Macaca fascicularis: one gene and its partners. The protein of the gene in region 1 interacts with the protein of each later gene in a biochemical or structural test. Links are inferred from orthologs where the notes say so. Each region holds a gene or a part of one and is shown in the gene's direction. Other genes may lie near its edges. The genes, in order: NCOA6, THRA, ESR1, TGS1, PPARG, HNF4A and RXRA.

The links.
Region 2: the proteins of NCOA6 (region 1) and THRA form a complex in vitro, tested with the Homo sapiens proteins (2 studies listed by BioGRID). The link is inferred for Macaca fascicularis from reciprocal best matches to the Homo sapiens genes NCOA6 and THRA.
Region 3: the proteins of NCOA6 (region 1) and ESR1 form a complex in vitro, tested with the Homo sapiens proteins (4 studies listed by BioGRID). The link is inferred for Macaca fascicularis from reciprocal best matches to the Homo sapiens genes NCOA6 and ESR1.
Region 4: the proteins of NCOA6 (region 1) and TGS1 form a complex in vitro, tested with the Homo sapiens proteins (2 studies listed by BioGRID). The link is inferred for Macaca fascicularis from reciprocal best matches to the Homo sapiens genes NCOA6 and TGS1.
Region 5: the proteins of NCOA6 (region 1) and PPARG interact in a test that uses a peptide from one of them, tested with the Homo sapiens proteins (2 studies listed by BioGRID). The link is inferred for Macaca fascicularis from reciprocal best matches to the Homo sapiens genes NCOA6 and PPARG.
Region 6: the proteins of NCOA6 (region 1) and HNF4A form a complex in vitro, tested with the Homo sapiens proteins (2 studies listed by BioGRID). The link is inferred for Macaca fascicularis from reciprocal best matches to the Homo sapiens genes NCOA6 and HNF4A.
Region 7: the proteins of NCOA6 (region 1) and RXRA form a complex in vitro, tested with the Homo sapiens proteins (5 studies listed by BioGRID). The link is inferred for Macaca fascicularis from reciprocal best matches to the Homo sapiens genes NCOA6 and RXRA.

The regions. Positions count from the first base shown.
Region 1 is NC_088384.1:90,779,863-90,783,362, reverse strand, and holds part of NCOA6 (nuclear receptor coactivator 6), read left to right. Parts: coding exon 1-680; intron 681-3,500. UniProt on the Homo sapiens protein: Nuclear receptor coactivator that directly binds nuclear receptors and stimulates the transcriptional activities in a hormone-dependent fashion. Coactivates expression in an agonist- and AF2-dependent manner.
Region 2 is NC_088390.1:61,153,584-61,157,083, forward strand, and holds part of THRA (thyroid hormone receptor alpha), read left to right. Parts: coding exon 1-109; intron 110-744; coding exon 745-950; intron 951-2,831; coding exon 2,832-2,978; intron 2,979-3,500.
Region 3 is NC_088378.1:59,861,262-59,865,259, forward strand, and holds the start of ESR1 (estrogen receptor), read left to right. Parts: upstream 1-1,198; 5' UTR 1,199-1,290; intron 1,291-3,998.
Region 4 is NC_088382.1:65,757,596-65,761,095, forward strand, and holds part of TGS1 (trimethylguanosine synthase), read left to right. Parts: intron 1-386; coding exon 387-559; intron 560-899; coding exon 900-1,728; intron 1,729-3,500. UniProt on the Homo sapiens protein: Catalyzes the 2 serial methylation steps for the conversion of the 7-monomethylguanosine (m(7)G) caps of snRNAs and snoRNAs to a 2,2,7-trimethylguanosine (m(2,2,7)G) cap structure.
Region 5 is NC_088376.1:150,711,308-150,714,778, forward strand, and holds the end of PPARG (peroxisome proliferator-activated receptor gamma), read left to right. Parts: intron 1-2,524; coding exon 2,525-2,772; 3' UTR 2,773-2,971; downstream 2,972-3,471. UniProt on the Homo sapiens protein: Nuclear receptor that binds peroxisome proliferators such as hypolipidemic drugs and fatty acids.
Region 6 is NC_088384.1:100,500,892-100,504,391, forward strand, and holds part of HNF4A (hepatocyte nuclear factor 4-alpha), read left to right. Parts: intron 1-9; coding exon 10-246; intron 247-3,500. UniProt on the Homo sapiens protein: Transcriptional regulator which controls the expression of hepatic genes during the transition of endodermal cells to hepatic progenitor cells, facilitating the recruitment of RNA pol II to the promoters of target genes. Activates the transcription of CYP2C38.
Region 7 is NC_088389.1:4,952,450-4,955,949, reverse strand, and holds part of RXRA (retinoic acid receptor RXR-alpha), read left to right. Parts: intron 1-612; exon of another isoform or gene 613-815; intron 816-1,467; coding exon 1,468-1,618; intron 1,619-2,250; coding exon 2,251-2,430; intron 2,431-3,500. UniProt on the Homo sapiens protein: Receptor for retinoic acid that acts as a transcription factor.

The DNA.
Region 1 (3,500 bases):
CACCCCTGTTCAGCTTCCTTCCCCTCCTTGTACGTCTTCTCCAGTAGTCCCTCCTCATCCCCCTGTCCAGCAAGTGAAAGAATTGAATCCAGATGAGGCTAGCCCTCAGGTGAACACCTCAGCAGATCAGAACACTCTTCCCTCTTCACAGTCAACCACAATGGTTTCTCCCCTTTTGACCAATAGTCCAGGGTCCTCTGTCAACCGGCGAAGCCCAGTCTCGTCTAGTAAGGGCAAAGGAAAAGTGGACAAAATTGGCCAAATTTTGTTGACCAAGGCGTGTAAGAAAGTTACAGGCTCTCTTGAGAAAGGGGAAGAACAATATGGTGCAGATGGAGAGACTGAAGGCCAAGGGCTAGACACCACAGCTCCGGGGCTCGTGGGAACAGAGCAGTTACCCACAGAGCTGGACAGTAAAACCCCAACGCCCCCAGCACCCACTCTGCTAAAAATGACCTCTAGCCCCGTGGGCCCGGGCACTGCCTCAGCAGGACCCAGCTTACCTGGCGGTGCTCTCCCCACCAGTGTACGCTCGATAGTAACCACTCTGGTACCCTCCGAGCTCATCTCTGCCGTAACGACCACAAAAAGCAATCATGGTGGCATAGCATCTGAGCCACTTGCGGGTGGCCTAGTGGAGGAGAAGGTGGGATCCCATCCAGAACTTCTACCCAGCATAGGTATGTACTTGGGGCTTCATCATCTCTTTGTGTCAGTTTTTTGATGACCTAATCCCACAAGAGAAAGCATGACTCGTTTTTTACTTGGAGGAGAGTGGGCTAAATGGAAGTAGTTTTATTTATTGAAAGTACGTTGGAAAATATGCTTTTAAATCCCATGTTAAGTTTGCATTCATTAAAGAGAGCTAAGGGCCGGGTGCGGTGGCTCATGCCTGTAATCCCAACACTTTGGGAGGCCGAGGCGGGCGGATCACTTGAGGTCAGGAGTTCAAGACCAGCCTGGCCAACATGGTGAAACTCCATCTCTACTAAAAATACAAAAATTAGCCAGGCATGATGGCACACACCTGTAATCCCAGCTACTCAGGAGGCTGAGGCAGGAGAATCGCTTGAACCTGGGAGCAGAGGTTGCAGTGAGCCGAGATCACGCCACTGTACTCCAGCCTGGGCAACAGAGCGAGACTCTGTCTCAAAAAAAAACAAAGAGAGCTAAGGCTCTCAAAACAAAGAGCTCCTGAAATAATGACACCTTTCATTTATATAAAAGTTTTTCAATTTACAAGGAAGCATTTTTACATATGTTGTCTTGCATCATCTTTATACCAACCATATCAGATATTCTTAATCCCATTGTATGGGTGAGAAGACTGAAGCTCAAAGAAGTTCAGTGTTTGTTCAGAGTCTATACTGTGAACCTCCCATTTAACACTGTACCTTACGTGTGAACAGCAGCTTCTGCAGATTCTCTTTACCAGGGTGAAGATTTGCTCATGACTTTCAGAACAATGGGTCCTCATTCTCATTGTACTCTATCTCAGGAACCATTCTTTTTTTGTCTGGGCTACTCTAGAGGAGAGCTAGAAGAAAACTGGGTTTCATGATAGTGGACACGGCAGAAACAAAGTGGTCAAGAGCCTGTAGGCTTGGGTTGGTATTATAACACCAGCATTTACCAGCTCTGTGGACTTGGGCAAGTTACCTGACCACTCCAGACTTTGGTTTCCTCCTTTGTAATATGGAACAATAATAGTTGTAAGAATTCAATAAGGTAGTACATATAACATTCTTAGCACAGAACCTAGCATATAATTATTCAATAAGTGGTAAAAATTGTTATTCCCAGTTTTTTTTTTATGTAATCTCTTTGTTGATTGGTGCATTCCATTTGCGTGTATCTAGTTCAGGCTATTTCCTATGTACTGTTAAAATGGGCTAATGATGGAAGCATAGGTGTCCTTACAACCGCCCCTCCTTCCCTTCTTCCCTTCCCCTACATGATTCTCCTCCTGTGAGGCTTAAGTGAAGAAGCTCTATTTCCTCAGAGTGGAGTCAGTCACACACTGCTAGAGCTGAGAAAGACCTTTGCAATATCCTAGGCCAGCTAATTAAGTGCCTATCTTATTTATGCAGCTAAAATGCTTCGAGTGCCTACCACTGAGTGGTAAGCACCCAGGTGGAGAGGCAGAAAGAACACAAGCTTCAGGGTAAGATCAGAGTTCAAATTCTAGCCCACTGGTTACCAGTTACAGTTGATACATTCCTTAACCTCTCCTAAGCCATGTACTTCACTTGTAAAATGGAGATTGTACATTCTACCTCCCAGAATTTAGGATTCTGAGAGAGGACTCAATGAGAAAATTTGTCAAGTGGCCAACACACTGCCTCACACCGAGCTCTGGAAAGGTTATTTCCCCTTCTCTCTGCCTCTTGACCTCAGTGTTAGAGATATGGGGGCAGGATCAAGGCCTTCAAGGAGTTTGCTGCTCTTATAGGAGACAGTCTTCACAAGACTGGGTGCTTATTCTATCTTGTTCTAGTTCTGTTGGTGTAGATGAACCTTAATAATTAAAAGGGAACCTGCTGTAAATTAAGTATATCCTTCACTATTAATTAAATATTTCCACTTCTCCTTTCAGGAGACTTTTCCCTCTGGTATCAAGAGAAAAATGATGAAGTAATTAGAAATTTTTTTTATCTGGATCATATATTATACTAGAGAAATATGTGAGCCTTGAGGAGATGAACCACACTTGGAAAAAGTTCTCAATTTTAGTTAAGAATACTCACTTTGCTTATAAGTGATTATTTCTATTCTTTTTCAAGGGACTTCTGTGCTTTTACTTTGAAAATGTGAGAAATTGGCCAGGCGCAGTGGCTTATGCCTATAATCTCAGCATGTTGAGAGGCTGAGGCAGGTGGATCACTTGAGCCCAGGAGTTTGAGACCATCCCGGGCAACAAGGCAAAACCCTATCTCTACAAAAATATATATATATAAATTAGCCGGGCATGGTGGCATGCACCTGTGGTCCCAGCTACTCAGAAGGCTGAGGCGGGAGGATTGCTTGAACCCACGAGGCGGAGGTTGTGGTGAGCCGAGATCCTGCCATTGTGCTACAGCCTGGGCGACAGAGCAAGTCTGTCTCAGAAGAAAAAGAAAAGGAAATTTGAGAAATGAACACTAAAGTTAAAAGTAGAAGTTAAGATACAGTTTTAAGGTTTATCAGATGAGCATCCAAAATAAATTCTTATACATAAATGCCTAATTTACTGCTTTAATAAGCAGGGAGAAAAATATACAAAATTCACAGTTTCCACAAGAGAGTAAAACGTATTGTCGCAGAGTTTATCTAGGATTTTAGACTGAGGTGTCAAGATGTGACTGTGGCATATCCACGCCATAATCTTTACTGTATCTTCCAGGATGGTTCCCTTCTAGAGTGCATTATGTATTTTATTCCATTCCTTAAGGGCCTAAGTTCTCTGTGTCCTTTGAAGCCTGATTCTGATGTTTCTCCCTTTAATGTGCCTCCAGATTTCT
Region 2 (3,500 bases), on another chromosome or scaffold:
ACTTATTCCTGCAAATATGACAGCTGCTGTGTCATTGACAAGATCACCCGAAATCAGTGCCAGCTGTGCCGCTTCAAGAAGTGCATCGCCGTGGGCATGGCCATGGACTGTAAGGGGCCCGGGTGGGGGGAATAGAGCCAGGTGGCCTGGGGTGGGGATGAGTTCCAGGAGGGCAGCTCCCTTCCAGCGTGCCCTCAGGGCCCACAGGGCAGAGTGGCAATCCAGTCTAGGTCAGGCTGAGGGCAGAAGGTTCAGTGTCTTGGTTCCTGCTGCCCTTCTTCCTGCGTCAAAGGAAACAGGATCCCTGTGTGGGCCCCAGTGCCTACCTGCCTTACAACACTCGAGGGCCTTAGAGGAGTTGTTTGGTAGAAAGAGCTCCTGGGCACCCACTCTAGCACATTGTTCTTGACTCCCAGCGAAGGCACCCCACTCCTAGATGAGACAGGGCATTTTCCATTGGCTGGGGATTGGGTGGCAGGATCTTGGAGTAACCACCATCACCATAACCCGATAGACCAGAACATGATATTCATCTGGATCAGCCCAAACTGTTATTGACATGGTCCCGGGGATTAATCATGATCCAGGTTGTGCTGCCCAACTGCTAGGTGATTTGGGAAGTCACTTAGCCTCCATGGCCCTCGGTTTCCCTAACCTGTACTCTAGGAAGAATAGTTTCCGGGAGCATTATGGAAAGGGGATGGAGGGTGCCATGCATCGGACCTTGTGCCTATCTGTTGACAGTGGTTCTAGATGACTCGAAGCGGGTGGCCAAGCGTAAGCTGATTGAGCAGAACCGGGAGCGGCGGCGGAAGGAGGAGATGATCCGATCACTGCAGCAGCGACCAGAACCCACTCCTGAAGAGTGGGATCTGATCCACATTGCCACAGAGGCCCATCGCAGCACCAATGCCCAGGGCAGCCATTGGAAACAGAGGCGGAAATTCCTGGTAAGGAGAAAGGGGGCATGGGGAGAGCAGCAGCCAGGTGGCAGGGAGAGGAGAGTGAGCTCAGAGTCCTGTCTCCTCCAGGAAGTCTTCTTAGTGTAATCCAACCCAAAATACATACTCTTCCCACTTTTGCTGTCCAGATTTTATACACTTGCGTTTGTGTCCTTGCTGTCTGGACCCTGTCTACTCCATCCAATTGGGAGCTCCATGAGGACAGGGCCTTGCCTTCCTCATTGAATTTCCAGGGAGCAAGGGTGACCTTGCTTCTTTTTCCTGCCCCTAGTGACTGGGAGGAGAGGGTAAGGATACAGTTATGTCACAGTATTTTTGAGTGCCTGCTGGGTGCCAGGCATTGTGTTAGGCCCTGGTCAAGCTAGTGGCTAAGTAAATGATTAGTTCAGGACCAGATGCAATGGCTCGTGCCTGTAATCCCAGCAATTTGTGAGACCAAGGTGGGAGGATCGCTTGAGCCCAGGAGTTCATCTGGGTAACATACAGAGATCCCACCTCTATGAATAATTTTTTTTTTTTTGGTATGGAGTCTCACTCTCACCCAGGCTAGAGTGCAGTGGCATGATCTCGGCTCACCGCAACCTCTGCTTCCTGGGTTCAGCGATTCTGCCACCTTAGTCTCCTGAGTAGCTGGGATTACAGGCAGCCGCCACCATGTCTGGCTAATTTTTGTATTTTTAGTAGAGACAGGGTTTCACCATGTTGGCCAGGCCGGTCTTGAACTCCTGATCTCAAGTGATCTGCCTGCCTTGGCCTCCCAAAGTGCTGAGATTACAAGGTGTGAGCCACCATGCCTAGCCTCTACGAATAATTTTTTTTTTTTTTTTTTGAGATGGAGTTTTGCTCTTGTTGCCCAGGCTGAAATGCAGTGGCGCAATCTTGGTTTGCCGCAACCTCTATCTCCCAGCTTCAAGCGATTCTTCTGCCTCAACTTCCCAAATAGCTGGGATTACAGGCATGCGCCACCATGCCTGGCTAATTTTGTATTTTTAGTAGAGATGGTGTTTCTCTATGTTGGTCAGGCTTGTCTGGAACTCCCAACCTCAGGTAATCTGCCTGCCTTGGCCTCCCAAAGTGCTGGGATTACAAGTGTGAACTACTGTGCTCAGCCTCTCTACAGATAATTTTAAAATTAGCTGGGCATGGTGGTGTGTGCCTGTGGTCCCAGGTACTCGGGAGGCTGAGGCAGGAGGGTCCCCTAAGCCCAGGAGGTCGAGGCTGCAGTAAGCCATGATTATACCACTGCACTCCAGCCCAGGCAACAGAGCAAGACCCTCTCTCAAAAAAAAAGTGGTCGGTTTGGGAGGAGATGGACAGTTGACTCTGTGTGGTGAAGGAAGGCAGAAAACCAGCTCCTGGTTCATGGTGGAGCATGCCAGAGGGTGGCACAGTGCACTGTTAAGGGCATGGGCTCTGATTCCAAGCAGATGTATAACAGTCAGCAGTCAGACTGCCCAAGTTCAAACCCTGGTCCTACCACTTGCTGGTCATATGACTTTAACCTTATTACTTAGCTGCCCCGTGCCTTAGTTTCCACATCTGTGAAATGGTGATTATTATAATTATTCCTTTTAGGATTACGGTCAGGATGAAATAAGACATGTAAAACATGTAGCCTGATGCCTGATCATATATTAAGTATTTAGTCATTATAGCTGCTACTACTGTTGTTACCATTGTTATTATTAGCTGACTCTGGCTCTGGTCTATCCTCTGCTCAAGGTGAAGGAAAAGCTTTGGGGCTGGGACTCAGGCACTTGCGGCCCTTCTTCCCCAAGCTGCCTTGGAGCTCCCCCTGGTGGGCAGGCAGCCTCAGTGAGAGGCTGAAAGGGGTCTGCAGCCCCAGCTGACCCCTGTCTTTCTCTCTAGCCCGATGACATTGGCCAGTCACCCATCGTCTCCATGCCGGACGGAGACAAGGTGGACCTGGAAGCCTTCAGCGAGTTTACCAAGATCATCACCCCGGCCATCACCCGTGTGGTGGACTTTGCCAAAAAACTGCCCATGTTCTCCGAGGTGAGTGGCAGAAGGGAGGAGAGACGTGGTGCTGTGCTGGAGGGAAACCTTCTCCCCCGGTCACCCAGCACAGGCTCATCTGAGGCTCTCTGGACAAGGAGCAATTCCCGTAGGTCAACACACACTCAGCACACAGGCACACATGCAGACACAGACACAGACACACCTAGCACACAGATACATACACACACACACATATACACACATATACACATACACCCAGCACTCAGGCACACGTGCAGACACATACACAGACACACACACCTAGCACACAGATACATACACACACACACATATACACATACACCCAGCACTCAGGCACACGTGCAGACACATACACAGACACACACACCCAGCACACAGATACATACACAGACACACAGACACACACATGTATACATACACCCAGCACTCAGGCACACGTGCGGATACACACACCCAGCACACAGATACACACACAGACACACAGACACACACATATACACATACACCCAGCACTCAGGCACACGTGCAGATACATAT
Region 3 (3,998 bases), on another chromosome or scaffold:
TAATAGAGGAAGTCATAAGGTTAAAGTTTCAATTCACCAAGAAATATCCATTCTAAACATGTATACATACCCAATTAAGCTGCCTCAAAATATATATGACAAAAATTTAGAGAATTGTAGAGTCAGATATAAGGATTGAAAAGGAAGAAATGAAACTAATTATTTTCAGATGATATATACATTTACATAAAAAACTCCAAAGAATCTTCAGATAAATTATTAGAAATTGTAGGAGAGCTCAGCAAGAAGGCAGGATATAAAATTAATATACAAAAGTCAATGTCATTTCACTATACTAGAAAAAAGACAATAACATTAGAAAATAAATCTAACATAAGATGTAGAAAAACTTATTAGAGGAAAAATTTTCTTGAGAAATATTAAAGAAGATCTAAATAAGTAGAATTACATCATATTCATGCATAAGAAGGCAACATTTTGAAGATGTCTTGTTATATATAGGCCTAGGAATAATATAGTTTTAAGTTATGTTATTTTGAACTGTAGATGAAAGAAAGCTCTTTTTTTTCCTTTGAGTATTTTAAGATTTTGAATAAAGTCATAGTGCTCTAGGAAGGTTGTAATATTTTATACTTCGCCAGCAGTGTTTGAGAATGCTTACTTCCTACATTATAACCACCATAAATATTTAAAACCTGATAGCACACAGTTTTAAAAATTTGAAATTCTCCAATTAACAGTGACCTTTAAAAATTATGTTTACTGGTCTCCATTATTTTGTCCTTTGTAAATTTTTATTAGTTTTTCTGTTCACATGTTCCATTTTTAAAATAGACTTTTAAGAGCTGTTTGTATTAAGAATATTAAGGCTTTGTCCCTATAATTAGTATTTTTCAGAATATCCTTTCTAGGTACAGTTTTTCAGTTCTAGTGCACAGAATGGAAACTTGTTACCTGCTATACCACATTTTCACTAGGATGTGATGTATTTATCACAAACAACAGTATTGGTCAACATTTTCCCTCGCTGTGAAGTGCACATTTGACATCCTTTAGAAAAATTACTGACGGTTTTGAGACGATTGTTTTGTGCTTTCTTTCAGTCAACGTAATTTTCCCGAAAGCAGAGATGACTCTTCCAGACATGCTAACAATGCCTGAACAAACTGTGTAAGCTTAGTCCAAAAAAAATATTTGATTAATAGATTTTATTCTGGTAGATTCTAAGGTTCTAAGCAGTCAGAGAAATAATCGCAGAGCCTCAAATATCTCCAAAATCTGATACCAATCCCTTTGATTGTGAATTATATTCTGTAGCTACCAAAGAAGGTAAGTTTTAATTTTTTCTACTCTATTAACTTTCCCTTGGGCAACTGAATATTAAGATGACTATGTAAGGAGGTTATCAGACCAAGGCCTCACACATCAGGATAAAAGCACATGCCATAGAAAGAACATTTGTGTCTCACAAGGTGATACCAAGGCAAGGCTATGGGATATATATGGGCACAATGTTGATATCTTCAAAGACTTGATACATAGTCTGGAGGTTTTCAGAGATTTTAATTTATAATGACAATCTTTCAAATTAGGAGAATTTTTGGACTGTAAAGTTAGCCAAACAAGTCTTCAATGATAAAAAAAGTCTATATCTTACACAGGGGGAATACATTTTTTGTTCGTTTTAATTTTTTCTCTGTCTATTCATACAGGGGCATCACATGTCTTTATCATTAAAAACTCTGATTTAGATAGACAGTTGTAGAGAAATTTAATGTGTGGGAATTTAAAGTTGTTTTATAAAGATGTAGCAAAATATAAATTTAAGACCCACAGCACCAATGAAAAAGGGAAATTAATTAAACTAGACAACTTTTATGGGTACTACCCATTAAAATTAAAATTTTAGTCATTGTAAATTATATTACATTGTAACAGTTTTCAATCTGTTGTCAAGTTAAATATTTTGGGTGACAATTGTATTTCACAGTTGTTCACACTTTGCATAATTTTCTAAGGAAAATGAGTCCCTTGGGGAGAAAATTGTTCTAAAATTTTATTGTTGGATAATGTTGCTGCACTAACATGATTTGCTGAAGTGGATCTACCATGTGTGTTTAGGTTTTTGTTCTTTACGAAATGTGTTGGGTGAAATTTTCCATAACACTGGTGAACTTTTCATGCTAATTTTCCAGTCCGTCAGTTTAAATATTATGCATTTTTTCCTGCGAATCTATCTTGAATCTGAAAAGGCCCCAGAAGGAATTAGCATGAGTCCAGAGTAGATGGACTGCAAATGTTACTCATATTTCAACATGTATCCAGCTTTCAGAAATAGCTTACTGAAATCAAGGTTGAACCACATGAAATTTTGGGGTTTTTTTGGATGTAAAAAAGGTTAAATATTGACATTTTCATATCATCCAATCTAATATCTTCCTCTAGTGAGGTTCTGGCAAAAAAAAAAAAAAAAAAAAAAAAAAAAGTATGATGACCCGAGTTGTTCACTCTTTTAAGCTTTATATTTCAAAATATTTTTAAAATTTAAAGCCATATAAGTGCATCCCAAAAAACATGGGAAAATTTTGTAGGCTACTTTTGTTTACTGATTTTTCTTCTATAGATTTATTTTTATGCTATGCCTGACTCTCCAATTAGATTTTAGTCATCCAGGAAAGTACAATTGCTCGTACTTCTAAGCAATTCTCCCATCACCTGGACATTAACTGCAGCCCACACTGCAGTGTCTTGACTGCAGTAGGCACTCAGTAAATATTTATTGATGGTCCTGATTATGGGATGATGAAATATGCTAAAGGTAACTTAAACTTTTGTCAATAAAACTGAGTTTCAGGTTAGTTTGACCTTTTCCGTATCTCTAAATATTTTCTTTCATGTCATTTTTGTGAAATAGCTCACAAAAGTACTTATTGATTCTGAAATCCTTTTCCCCTCTGGTATTCCTGAGCTATTCTCACTCACACACAGCACACCAGTGCCATCGTTTGCTGTTTTGGTTAAAATCATTCTCATTAATATTCCTCATTCAGTAAAAATAGTTGATTCTCAGTTATAAATATACACTTCATATTGGCATCCAACTGTTATGTGGGATGGAAAACAAAATGATGATATTGACTCCATAAGATAAACAGCAGTCTTTAGAATAGAGTTTGGTGCATAACTGTTCTAAATGTATCAAAGTTATCTCATTTAATCCTCCCACACACCTGTGGGAAGAGAGTATTTGTCTTGCTTTACAGATAAGGAAGCTGAGGCTTAGAAGATTCATATGTCTAACTAAGATCACAGAGCTGGTAAATCAGCCAAGTTTGAGTCTAAATCCAGGTTTTAAATATCATATTACATGTAGGCATAGATAAGCAAGAACAGGTTTTCCTGAAGATGGCCAGGCTAAGGCTTAGAAGAAGGAAGCTCAAGGAGACTAAACCAAGATATGCTAAGGCAAGTTTTTTTGTTTGCTTGTTTGTTTTTGAGACCGAGTTTCGATCTTGTTGCCCAGGCTGGAGTGTAGTAGCATGATGTTGGCTCACCACAACCTCCGCCTCCTGGGTTCAAGTGATTCTCCTGCCTCAGCCTCCCGAGTAGCTGGGATTATAGGCATGCACCACCATGCCCAGCTAATTTTGTATTTTTAGTAGAAACGGTGTTTCACTATGTTGGCCAGGCTGGTGTCGAACTCCTGACCTCAGCTGATCCGCCCATCTCAGCCTCCCAAAGTGCTGGGATTACAGGCATGAGCCACTGCGCCTGCCCTGCTAAGGTAAGTATTGACCATTAGAGGAGATGACTAGTCCTAGTGACAGGTCTTTCCTACTGGGAGTCAGCCAAGAGCTCCCCACTTTTCTGGTTCCGTTGTTCCTCCTGCAAAGTTCCATTGATAAAGTGGTTTCCCATTTGATTGTCCAATGATGCAAATCTCCAGTCCTTTATAGCATTGAGTTGCTTATGGCCTTTTACCGTTGAGTTTCTCATGGCTAATGAATGCTATTGAATTGGTGTTCCCATTTATCTAT
Region 4 (3,500 bases), on another chromosome or scaffold:
CCAGCATATCATCAGTTGTTTTTTGTTGGTTTGTTTTCTTTTTTTCCTTTAAAAATTGTAACTTTGCAGGCCAGGCAAGATGGCATGCAACTGTAATCCTAGCTGCTTGTGAGGCTGAGGCAAGAGGACTGACTGAGCCCAGGAGTTCAGAGCTTTTTAGTGCATTATGATCACACCTGCAAATAGCTGTTATACTCCAACCTGGGCAGTACTGTGGGACCCCCATCTCTAAAAAATAAAAAATAAATATTGTAACATTTGCCTACCTTTGTTTTGGGCAGGTCCTGTAATCAGTCACTCTGGATCTCAGGGTTTTTTTAAATGAAAATAAGAAAACCTGCCTCTTAAGTTTTCCTTAAAACTAAGCTAATAAATGCTATCTATAGGAGACCAGGCGACAGAAGAGGAAGAAGGTGGTTATTCTTGTGGTACTGCGGAATCACGTGACAACAAAGGCATATGCCTAGATGAAAGTGAGCTTGATTCTGAGGCTGAACTCATGAGAAGTATGGGATTGCCACTTCAATTTGGTAGGATATCTGCACATAAGAATTTTGAGGTAAATATTAATTTACTTTTATTCTCTCAGTTTTCTTTATAAAATATCGCAGGGAGTTACTTTTTATCAGATTAAATGCATTCACAATCAGTACTCTCTGCCTCTTTTTAAATGTATGTATTTATAAATTAACCAAAACTGCAAGTTGTAATATGTCTCACGTGTGACTCTTCCTCCTCTTGGAAACTTAGACAGTATGTCACTTGTTTGTGGAGCTGAAAGCCCATAGTGGGACTTTGAGAGTAGTTTGTTTAATTTAATGTCAAAATAGACTTGGATTCTGCTTTCTTGTATAGTTTTATGAAGTACATTTTATATTCAAATTATTTATCTGATGTAGGTATCTATGAATACTAGAAATAAAGTTAAAATAAAAAAGAAAAAGAAGAAACATCAAAAGAAATACTTAGATGAAATTATGCAAGAATCTTGGAGAAAAGAATATGAAGAAGAACACATTTTGGCTTCAGATGATCCATCTTCAATTGAACAGTATGAGAACACCAGAATATGTGAACTTCAAAGCAAAAAAGATACTGAGACAGAAAATCTTCCTGTTGAAAACACATTATCTCCAAAGCTAGAAATTACAGAGAAATGGGAAAAGTATTGGAATGAATACGGAGGAGGACTATTGTGGCAGAGTTGGCAAGAAAAACATCCAGATCAAACACTATCTTCTGAACCTTGGAACTTTCCTGATACAAAGGAAGAATGGGAGCAACATTATAGTCAACTTTATTGGTATTATTTGGAACAGTTTCAGTATTGGGAAGCTCAGGGTTGGACTTTTGATGCCTTGCAAAGCTGTGATACAGATACTTACTCATCTAAAACAGAAGCTGACAACAAGAAAGATGAAAAATGCTTGAAAGTTGACTTAGTATCTTTTCCATCTTCACCTATTACAGTTGATAATGACAGCTCTGGTACAAGTGATAAGGATTGTAGTGAAATACTTGATGGAATTAGTAACATAAAACTAAATTCAGAGGCAGTAAAACAGAGCCAATTAGATTCCTCTACAAGTCATGATGGTCATCAACAGCTAAGTGAAGTTAGTAGCAGAAGAGAGTGCCCTGCTTCCGGCCAAAGTGAACCACATAATGGAGGAACCAATGAGGAAAGCAGCCCACCAGGGAATACAAGCACAGACCCACCAGCTCAGGGTAAGATTAACCAAGATTTATTCTGCCATGTAATGGTTAGCAAAATGAATTCATTCAGCAAAATAACTACTAATCCTTTATTGTAGAGTTCAGTAATACCAACTACATTTCATATAGTAATGAAATGATTTAATCCATTCTATTTTCATATCACAAGTTGTTACCCTTTTCTGTTAATAAGAATATTTGCATACAGTTCTCAAAAACATTCCTTCTTGTACTTTGGTGGCTAATGAAAACGTGGAATCTCTTGAGAAATCTAATTTAGAGTGAGCTTGGAACTTTTAGTTTTTCAGAGCAAATGAGTTTATAAGAGGCATGTTAGAAAGCAATTGAGAACGTACATTTGACATTAGGCAAATGTCTTATGAGTCATAGTGGAATTCATGTAGGACAAGCAAAGTCTTGCTGTGAAAAAAGATCTCAGTGGGGCCCAGAATTAATTTATAACTGGAATAATTTCAGGATTCTCATCAATAAAATATCCAGGATAAGGAACTTGGTTGATTCCTGAATAACTGATAAAAAAAAAAAAAAAAAAACAAAAACAAAGGCTCGTTGTGCAAACTGGTGCCACTCAGGACTAGAGAATGCCAATGAGAAGTGCTTTGAAAGGAGTTAATCGGAGTAGGGTGGGATGAGAATGTTTACTTTGCATTGCTGTAAAGGAATACCTAAGACTGAGGAATGTATAAAGAAAAGAGGTTTATTTTGGCTCACAGTTTTGCAGGCTGCACAGGAAGCATAGCCTCAGCATCAACTCCTGGTGAGGGCCCCAGGAACCTTCCAATTATGGCAGAAGGTGAAAGCGAAATAGGCATGCCACATGGCAAGAGAGACAGCAAGAGAGAGGGGGGAAGTCCCAGGCTCTTGTTAGCAATCAGATATTGCAGTAGCTCATTACCATGGGGGGGAGGCACTAAGCCATTCATGAAGGATCTGCTCCATGACCCAAACACTTCCCACCAGACCCCACTTCCAACATTAGGGATCACATTTAAATATGAGGTTTAGAGGGGACAATCATCCAAACCATATCAGTGTTCTTGCTAAGGAGAGGGTTCTGCCAATTAACAGCACCAGGAAAATGAGAGAGGAGGAAATTGTGACATCTGCATATCCTGAAGTTTTGGCATCCTGATGTTACATGCTGAGGACATCTAGTGTAGAGGAACTTTCTTCTCAGCCTTACTCCTTTGTGAAACAAATGGTTTTGACCTTTTACTTAACCATCAGATTTGCTTTGCTTATCTCAGATTGCTGATAATACTTCATCCAGCTGAGAGTTTCTAAAGAGCTCTGCCAACTTGCTTTTTTCTCTGTATTCTTAGATTCTTATAGTGGAGCCTACCTCAGCATAATATTCTCATAATATTCTCATTCTTTTCTATTTAGGTGATATATTTTCACCTTTTTTTTAATTTTTTTTTTTTAAGATGGAGTCTTACTCTGTCGCCCAGGCTGGAGTGTGGTGGCATGAACTCAGCTCACTGCAAGGTCCACCTCTGGGCTCAAGCAGTTCTCCAGCCTCAGCCTCCCGAGTAGCTGGGACTACAGGTGTGTGCCACCACTTCCAGTTAAATTTTTTTTTTTTTTTTTGTATTTTTAGTAGATACGGGGTTTCACCGTGTTGGCCAGTCTGGTCTCAAACTCCTGACCTCAGGTGATCCTACCGCCTCAGCCTCCCAAAGTGCATAGGCGTGAGCCACCATGCACAGCCATCCTTTTTTATTTGAAGATTTTATATTAATATTCTGATACTCTTCTATACT
Region 5 (3,471 bases), on another chromosome or scaffold:
GAAAGTTTTAAAAAGGAATTCAATAAATTAAAAACAAAACACAAAATGTTTAAAAACAGACTTGATTAAAAAACCAAAAGTTATGTTTTTTTAAAAAAGCAAAAACTAGATAAACCTTTGACAAATCAGATTTTTTTTTTTTTTTTTTGAGATGGAGTCTTGCTCTGTCGCCCAGGCTGGAGTGCAGTGGCCAGATCTCAGCTCACTGCAAGCTCCGCCTCCCGGGTTCCTGCCATTCTCCGGCCAAATCAGATTTTTTTAATGAGAGAATGCACAAATAAAGAGCTCTAAGAGCTGGGCACAGTGGCTCATGCCTATGTTCCCAGCACTTTGGGAGGCTGAGGCAGGAGGATTGGTTGAGGCCAGAAGTTCAAGACCAGTCTGGGCTATGTAGCAAGACCCCACCTCTACAAAAAATTTAGAAATTAGTTGGGTGTGGTGGCTCATGCCTATAGTCCCAGCTACTTGGGAGGCGAAAGCAGGAGGATCACCTGAACCCAGGAGTTGGAGGCTGCAGTGAGCCATGATCATGCCACTGCACTGGGCAACAGATTAAGACTCTGTCTCAAAAAAAAGAAAAGAAAAAGCATTAAGTTAAGATTAAGTTAAGGGGCATGAATAAATACATTTCATATTCTAAGACAATATCATCTACAACTTTATTCCAATATAAATTACTAAAACTTTACCATATAAGTAGTAGAAAGCCTGAATAGATAAAAACTATGGAAGAAAAATTAAAGATAATGATAGATTTATCATTAAGCTCAGATGGTTCTGCAAACAAATTCTAAGAAACCGTCAGGGAACAGATCATTACTATGTCGACACAGAAGGCAAACTTCTCAACTCAGTGTATAAGGCTAGTTAACATTGTTACTAAAACAGGCAAAGAATGGCCCCCAAAATAATTCTAAATCAGTACCACCTACAAGTACAAAAACCCTATAATAAAATATTAGCAAGTGACTACAAGGGTATAAGGAACTCTGTTAATGTAATTCACTGTGCTAGGTTAAGATAAAACCATAACTCTTCAAGATATCATAGCTCTTTAGATAGAGAAATGTAAAAGCATTTGATAAAAATTCAACAACATTCCTGACTAAAACAAATTAAAATTTTTAAACCCCTGGATAAGCCAGGAGTAAAACATGTCCTCCATAATCTATAGCAAACATCATAGTTGCTGATAAACCATTAGAAGCATTTCCTTCAAAGTTAGGAATAAAACAAGAATTGCTGCTATTATTTAATCCCATATTGGAGGTTTTAGCCAACACACTATGGCAAGAAGAGGAAATGAGAAAGGTTAATGATGCAAAAGAAGAAATAAATAGCTACCATTGCTGATACAATTATCTATCCAAAAAAAGTAGAAATCCATGATTAAAAGCTATTCGAACTGACAAAAGTTCAGGAAATTGGAATCGTTTCAATATACTAAAATCAATTAGTTTTCTACACATCAGCGGGGATATATTAGATGTAATGAAAATGAAGGGTCCATTCACAATAGAAGCTATAAAGTATTTGAGAATAAATCTAACAAGATCTACATAAAGAAAAAAGTAAAATATTTAAAAGGTATTTAAGTTCACCATTTGCAAATTGAACTAAAGAAAAAATCTAAAGAAGAACTAGTGAAAATTGCTTGCAATCTTGCCACTCAAAAGAAACCTCTGTTAAAATGTATCAGTATTTTAAAACTGTGTTTTGTCGTTTGGAAATACGCCATATTAAGCAAACACAGCATAAGCAAATCAAGCAAAAAGACAAGCCTTTTTTTAAAAGCATATTTGTGAAAAGAGCATATTTGAAGCTATGATAAGAAACTGAGTAGAAGCTATAAAACATGGATTCATCAGGAAGGAGCAGAAGTTGAAAAGATTTCTGGCTGGGCGTGGTGGCTCATGCCTGTAATCCCAGCACTTTGGGAGGCCAAGGCGGGTGGATCACTTGAGGTCAGGAGTTTGAGACAAGCGTGGCCAACATGGTGAAACCCCATCTCTACTAAAAATACAAAAATTAGAAAGGCGTGGTGGTGAGCGCCTATCATCCCAGCTACTCAGGAGGCTGAGGCAGGAGAATAGCTTGATCCCGGGAGGCATAGGTTGTAGTGAGCTGAGGTCGTGCCACTGCACTCCAGCCAGACAGAGCAAGACTCCATCTCAAAAAAAAAAAAAAGGAAAAAGGAAATTTCTGAGTAGAAACATGTTAGCAGAGGAAACTTAATTTGGGGAATGAAATTGTTTTGATGCCACGCTCCATCAGCTGACCACACAGATTCCATCCTGGCCAGAAAAAGCCCCTGCAAAGACCTCTGATTATTTTGGTTCTGATTACATCCTCAGTTCTCACCCATTATCTGCTTGCCCTTGCTCCCCACCTATTTAAGATACAAAGCAAAACAAACCAAAACCACGGATGAGTTGCTTGGTAGAGCTCCCTAGGCCTCCGAGGCGGGGCCCAGAGGATTTTTTGACTGAACCCCGTGTTGTGTTTTCCATTTGTGCTTCCCCAGATCGCCCAGGTTTGCTGAATGTGAAGCCCATTGAAGACATTCAAGACAACCTGCTACAAGCCCTGGAGCTCCAGCTGAAGCTGAACCACCCTGAGTCCTCGCAGCTGTTTGCCAAGCTGCTCCAGAAAATGACAGACCTCAGACAGATTGTCACGGAACACGTGCAGCTACTGCAGGTGATCAAGAAGACGGAGACAGACATGAGTCTTCACCCGCTCCTGCAGGAGATCTACAAGGACTTGTACTAGCAGAGAGTCCTGAGCCGCTGCCAACATTTCCCTTCTTCCAGTTGCACTATTCTGAGGGAAAATCTGACACCTAAGAAATTTACTGTGAAAAAGCATTTTAAAAAGAAACGGTTTTAGAATATGATCTATTTTATGCATATTGTTTATAAAGACACATTTACAATTTACTTTTAATATTAAAAATTACCATATTATGAAATTGCTGATAGTATTTCATTTACTGAGTCTTGTGTGTTTCCCACCCTAGCCCCTGGGCTTTCTTTTTTCCCCCTTTTCCTTCTTCCCTCGATCCCTCCCTCCCTCCCTTCCTCCCTCCCTCCCTTCCTTCCTCCCTCCCTCCCTCGCACCCTTCCTCCCTTCCTTCCTTCCTTTCCTTCTTCCTTTATTTTTCTTTTCTTTCTTAGACATTTTAAAATATGTGAGTGGAACTGCTGATACACTTCCATTCTCAGTAAATTAATTTTTTACTCAATTTACAACTTTTCGGAACTCTACATCTGCTTTAACAATCAGAACTAAGAAGGGAAGGGGAACTTCAGAATCAGACGGCTCAGAGCATGTGTTTTGTAGCCTGGATATGCTGATATGCAGTATATCCCTGGGCTTACCCAGAATTCAGTCTTCTTCCACAATCCTAACCGAGATTTTCACTCACCACCAGCAGCCTATTCATATACTACCTGCTAATCAATGCCACTG
Region 6 (3,500 bases), about 9.7 Mb from region 1:
CCATTGTAGATGCCAAAGGGCTGAGCGATCCAGGGAAGATCAAGCGGCTGCGTTCCCAGGTGCAGGTGAGCTTGGAAGACTACATCAATGACCGCCAGTATGACTCGCGCGGCCGCTTTGGAGAGCTGCTGCTGCTGCTACCTACCCTGCAGAGCATCACCTGGCAGATGATCGAGCAGATCCAGTTCATCAAGCTCTTCGGCATGGCCAAGATCGACAACCTGCTGCAGGAGATGCTGCTGGGAGGTCCGTGCCAGGCCCAGGAGGGGCAGGGTTGGAGGGGGGACTCTCTAGGAGACAGCCTCACACAGACCTGAGCTCACCCCTCAGCTCCTTGGCTTCCCCACTGTGCAGCTTTGGGCAAGTTGCTTAACCCATCTGTGCCTCAGTTTCCTCATCAGAAAAATGGGAACAAAGGCAATGGTCTATCTGTTCAGGCGCTGAGAGCCTAGCACATGCCAGTCACTGTTCTGAGTGCTGGCAATTCAGTGAAGAACATGATCTTTGCCCTCCGGGAGGCTGTGTATGTGTGAGTGTGTATAGATGCATGGATATCTGTGTATATGCCCGTATGTGTGTGCATGTGTGTATAAAGGCTCACATTTTATGATTTTGAAATAAACAGGTAATATGGTAGAGTTTAACTGAAAAGGAATCCTCTTTAGATAGGGGAGGCCAAAGGAGACCTCTCTGAAATGGTGACTCTTGTGCTAAGACCCTAATGGCTGAAAGGAAGTGCAAGGCTTAAAAGACAAGAGAGCAGTGGCTCACACCTGTAATCCCAGCACTTTGGGAGGCCAAGGAGGGCAGATCACGAGGTCGGGAGATCGAGACCATCCTGGCTAACACAGTGAAACCCTGTCTGTACTAAAAATACAAAAAATCGGCTGGGTGTGGTGGTGGGCGCCTGTGGTCCCAGCTACTCGGGAGACTGAGGTAGGAGAATGGCGTGAACCTGGGAGGTGGAGTTTGCAGTGAGCCGAGATCGTGCCACTGCACTCCAGCCTGGGCAACACAGCGAGACTCCATCAAAAAAAAAAAAAAAAAAAAAAAAAAAGAGAGGAATATTCCAAGAAGAAGGAACTACTTCAAGGGCCCCGGAGAGGAGAGAGTTGTGTGTTTGAGAAAGAAGGGCAAGGTTGTGAGATGGAGGAGATGGAGGAGGTGAAGATGGAGATTGGGCAGAAACCAAATCATAAACATATGGCTTTGTAAACCTTGTCAGAAATTTGGATTTTATTCTCATTGCAACTATTGTAAGGAGAGTGAAAACCAGACTAATTATTTTTATTCTTTGAGACAAAATTTCCCTCTATCATCCAGGCTGGAGTGCAGTGGCAGGATCTCGGCTCACTGCAACCTTCACCTCCCAAGTTCAAGCAATTCTCCTGTGCAGCCTCCCAAGTAGCTGGGATTACAGGCACCCGCCACCACGCCCAGCTCTTTTTTTTATATTTTTAGCAGAGATGGGGTTTCACCCTATCGGCCAAGATGGTCTCAAACTCCTGACCTCAAGTGATTGCCCACCTCGGTCTCCCAAACTGCTAGAATGACAGGCATGAGCCACCATGCCCAGCCCAGACTAATGCTTTAAACAAACCACTCAGACTGTTGGGTACAAAGTAAATTGCAGAGATTCCTGAGAATGTCACTGTCTCCAATCATGTGACAGATGATGAAGGCTTGGACCATGGAAATGGAGCAGTGAAGATAAACCGGATCATCTATTTGGAGGAAGAGCCCACACCCACAGGATTTGCTGACTGATTAGATGTAGGGAGTGACAGGAAGAGGAATAGTCAAGGACAGAGTCTAAATTTTTGCTTTGAATAGCAGAAATGATGATGGAGTAGTTTACCGAGATGAGGAGGACAGAATAAACAACTTGATGCTGCGGTCTGGGGGTGGTCGTGAGGGGTGACCTCAGAGATCCGTTGTGGACTCTCTTTTTTTCCTTTTTCCTTTTTTTTTTTTTTTTTTTTTGAGACGAGATCTCTCTCTGTCACCCAGGCTGGAGTGCAGTGGCGCAGTCATAGCTCACTGCAGCCTCAACCTTCCAGGCTCAAGAGATCCTCCAGTCTTCCGAGTAGCTGGGACTACAGGTGTGTGCCACCATACCCGGCTAATTTTTCATTTTTATTTTTTATAGAGACGACGTCTCACTATGTTGCCCAGGCTAGTCTTGAACTCCTGGTCTTAAGCAATCCTTCCGACTTGGCCTCTCAAAGTGCTGGGATTACAGGTGTGAGCCACCATGCCCAGCCTCATTGTGGACTTTCATTAAGCATGAGATGACTATTACAAGTCCAAGTTGCCGAGGAGGCAGTTGAATGTATGAGTCTGCTGCTCAAGCACAAGATTAAAGGCAGCTCTGTGGAATCGGGGGAAGATGGAGCCATGGAGGGAAGGGAAGAAGAATGGCCGGAGGGGTAGGAGAAAACCAGGGCAATTCCAGAATCCAAGAGAAGAGCGTGTTTGAAGGACAGAGTGTTTAATGGTGTTACACTCTGCAGAGAGACAGAAAGAAGGAGGGAGGAATGGAGAGGTGAAGGGAGGAGGGGAAGAGAGAGGAAAGAGTCCATTGGATTGGCAGCTGGAGGCTCTTGGCAATTGTGTTGAAAGCAGTTTCAGAGAGCTGGGAGAGTGGAAACCAGATTGGAGAGTGCTCCAAAGACAGCAAGTGGGAAGGTGGAGATAGAGTAGATAACCCTTTGAAATGGTTTGACTGTGAAGGGGAGTATGAAGGAGTTAGGATGACTGCAAGGGAGTGATTAGAATGATAGGTCATGCAGTCTGGGCTGCACTCAAAGAGAAATAAAGACAGAGGCTGGGTGCGGTGGCTCACACCTGTAATCCTAGCACTTTGGGAGGCCGAGGCGGGTGGATCACTTGAGGCTAGGAGCTCAAGACCAACCTGGCCAACACAGTAAAACACCATCTCTACTAAAAATACAAAAAAAATTAGCCAGACGTGGTGGCATGCGCCTGTAATCCCAGCTACTCGGGAGACTGAGGCAGGACAATCGCTTGAACCCAGGAGACGGAGGTTGCAGTGAGCCGAGATTGTGACATTGCACTCCAGCATGTGTGACAGAGCAAGACTCTGTCTCAACAACAACAACAAAAGGATGGGGTGATAGTGAAAAGAGAGTGTCAGTGAATTGACAGCCTCAGTAGGCTGAAGAAGTTTTGCAGTGATGGTACTAGATTAAGGGAGCTGGAAGGACACAAGGTGAAGTCAAAGTAGGGATGTTGAATTCGAGATTTTGGAGGTGCTTCAGTGAGGGCGAGGTTTCTCAACACTGGTACTATTGATACTTGGAACTGGACGATTCTTTGTTGTGCTGGGCTGTCCTGTGCGTTGTTTGGCTGCATCTCTGTCCTGTACCCATAAGGTGCCAGTAGCACTTCTCCAGTAGTGACAACCAAAAATGTCTTCGGATATAGTCAAACGTCTCCTGATGGGCCAAAATCATCCCCAGTTGGGAACCACTGTTGTG
Region 7 (3,500 bases), on another chromosome or scaffold:
CTGTCCTTCCAGGGGCTTCACTTTCGCCTTCTGCAGAGTGGGGGACCCTGTGTGACCTTGGCCAGCCCCTGACATCCCTGAGCCACAGCCTCTGCATCTGGGGCCCCCAGGGTTTTCCATGCAGGGAGTGGCAAGTGTGGGTGCAAAGCCCAGGCACCATACCCCTCAGCAAACATCTGGAGCCTTCTCTTGCCCCTTCAGTTCCCTCCCTTCTCTGAGAAGCGCACCTGGTGCCTGTGGACGTGAACGCTGGGCTTTTGGCGAGTCACACGGTGGCCACCCGGTTCTCCGGTGACTGGAGCCCCCACTGTGGCACCCCCACTGTGCTGAGTTGTCACGGGGGACCTTCTGGCCTCTTGCAGCTCACCTGAGGCCCGCGGGGACCAAGCATCCTCGCAAAACCTCACAGCCCACCTGGGCAGACCGAGGAAGAACTTAGAAGCCGGAACAAACTGGGGCTGGAAGACTCATTCCAGGCACCAAGGCCCGTGTGAAAGGAGGCTTTGGGGTGGTTTTTGCTTTGCTTGCATTGAGCCTCAAACTCTTCCTGTCCCGTGAGAAGGGGGGATGGGATTTTGGAGGCCTGAGGAAGGAAGGAGGGGAGCTTCCTGCGCACAAGCGGTGGCAGGGGTTTGCAGAAGTGAAGGCTGGGGGCTGCCTGGCCGAGCGCTCAGTGCTGTGCGCAGCCGGGCTGGCTGGCAGGATGCAGCGGGAAGCGCCTGTGGGTCCTCTGCACTGACTGCAGAGCTGGGTGGAGGCAGCGGAACCAAAACTGCTGTGTCACTGCACGCTGCAGCTGTTACCAGGGTGACCGGGTGAGTTTCCCACGCTTGCCCGGGCGGCAGCGTGCGGGCTGGCGGGTGGGGCGGAGGGGTGTGCGGAGAGGCCAGTGGTGTCGTGCCACTCGATGCCCGGGGGTGTCCACTCCCCTCTCCTGTGTCACGTGACCAGGACCCCTGCCCTGCGGTGTGGTGGGGTACATGTGTGGTTCTTGGAGGGTCCCCAGCCCTCCTCCGTCCTGGGGACTGGGCCTCGGCGTCCTCATCTGTGGGTTGGGACCCCCCAGAGTGCCTGCCTCATGGAGTGTCCGGGGGCACCCAGCAGGGCTGGGCACTGCCAGGGGCTCAGTAATGAGAGGCAGCTCTCATTTAGGTGGGCAGTGGACGGGGGGTGCAAGCAGGGACCGCCCATGTGTTGGGGGGTTGCTGAGGGGTCCTTTGCCACAGAGGCCTGGGGTCTGCTGTGGGCGAGTCCCGAGGTTGCTGCAGCCTCTGCTGGCCTCGCTCAGCACGCACAGTGACCCCCTGCTCCGGAGCAGCGTGGCGGGTGGGGGGCACGACCCTCTGTAGCCTCCGTGTCTGTGTGTGAAGTGGGGGGTACGGCTGCGCCATCCTTGCTGCAGGGCTCTGGGGGACGTACGGACGAACCTGGTGTGCACCCCACTGACCGCTGTGGTTGCCCCCCCAGCTCAGCTCACCCATGAACCCGGTCAGCAGCAGCGAGGACATCAAGCCCCCCCTGGGCCTCAATGGCGTCCTCAAGGTCCCCGCCCACCCCTCAGGAAACATGGCTTCCTTCACCAAGCACATCTGCGCCATCTGCGGGGACCGCTCCTCAGGTACTGCTGCTGTGGGGGCCGGTGGGACAGGGTTGTCAGGCCACTGCAGGGTCTGGAGGCCTCCCCAAGTCACCCTCCTGTGGGCCAAGCAGGACCCAAGGCCAGGGTGCAGGGAGGCAGGCACCTGGGCCATGGCCCACTCCCAGGGCTCCACGAGGCCATTCCAGGGTTCTCACGTCTGTGGGACAGCATGTGTTGGGTGGGGTGGGGCACAGGGCCGCCTGAGGCTTCCGGAGAGGAGGTGGCTGCTGATGGCAGGGTCAGTGTGGGAGCAGCCAGCACCGTGCCTCCTCCCTTGGCTGGGTCTGGGCAAGGGGCCTGTGTTGTGCCACTGCCCCCCACAGCCTGAGAGGGAAGAACGGGCTGCACGGTGCAGACACAGAGCAGGTGACTTGCCAGGAGCTCTGGTCCCTGATGAGCTGGGATTTATCCCTGCCCCACTCCCCAGTTGTCCTCGGAGGAGCAGAGAGGGCAAGGCCGGGGCCCAGTCTGAGCCCAGGCGGGGGTCTGGAGACCAGCGGGTCCCTTCCTGAGGCCTGGCCCACCAGCTGACAGTGGCGGCGTTGGATGCGGGGTGGGCTGCCTGCCGGCGCGGTGACTGCTCCCCAGCCCTGCCCTGCCCTGTCCCGCAGGCAAGCACTACGGGGTGTACAGCTGCGAGGGGTGTAAGGGCTTCTTCAAGCGGACGGTGCGCAAGGACCTGACCTACACCTGCCGCGACAACAAGGACTGCCTGATTGACAAGCGGCAGCGGAACCGGTGCCAGTACTGCCGCTACCAGAAGTGCCTGGCCATGGGCATGAAGCGGGAAGGTAGGCCACGGCGTCGGGTGGGGGCACGGGCAGGTGTTGGACAAACAGTGGGGCCCGGGCCTACGCATGGACACCCAAGATGGACAACAGGGAGTGAGTGGCCTGGACAGAAGCACGGCAAGGCCGAGGCAGGAGTGGCGGCGGGGCCCGAAGCGTGGGCGCACATGGGCCCCGGGCGGCATTTTCTGGCTGGCGTTGGCTGTCTGGCGAGGGGATGGTCAAGGAGACCTTCAGGTGGTGCTGCTTAGGTTGGAGAGGTGGAGCGGGGGCGTCTTCTGAGCTGTTGGATGCCAGGGGTGGTTCCGGGCCGGCTTCCTCCCGAGGCCAACTCTGCTGCACCCCTGCAGGGCCGCCGGATGGCCCCCAGGCTCTTGGAGCAGTTCCTCCTTTCCTTGCATTTTTGTGCCGGTGTTATTAACAAATCTGTGTTGGGGGCGGTTTGCAGGGAAGGTCCCTCCCCCGATGTCACCACAATTGTCAAGTCAGACCTGGGTCAGAGTCCCGGACCCAACAGGCGCTGTGACTTCCCAGCCCTGGCTGGCTGTGGACCTCAGTGTCTCCATCTGTCACATCCCCTTTCCTTCTCAGGTTTGGCGATTCCTGGCCTCCGAGTGGGTCCCTGGGTCATGGTTTTCTCACGTGTTTGCGGGTGTGCCTCGATTCTTCCCATCGGGTCCCGTGCCCTGGGCTTTGTTGGGGTGGGAGGTGCTGTCTGGGGTGAAGATCTGCTGGTCTGTCCCCATGCCCCCAGCTCTGCAGGACACCCTTCCTCTGTCCTCTGCCGTGCTGCTCCCAAGGCCCCACACCTGTGTGGCTGGTGTGTCTTACTTCCTCCCCGCCAGCCCGTGGTGGGGTCCCCAAGCAGGATCCAAGCCACTGTCTCACCGTCAGGGATGTCCTGAGTGGCGGCCCTTGTGCTGCAGTTTCATTTCATCATCTCTTGTGTGTGCCGTCTCAGCCTTCACGGTCCTGTTGAGAAATCAGCTCCTCTGCCGGGCCCCGCACTCCCGCAGGGTATCCTCCTTGGGCCGTGAGGCTGAGTGTGACGTACGGGCTGGCATGGGGTCCTT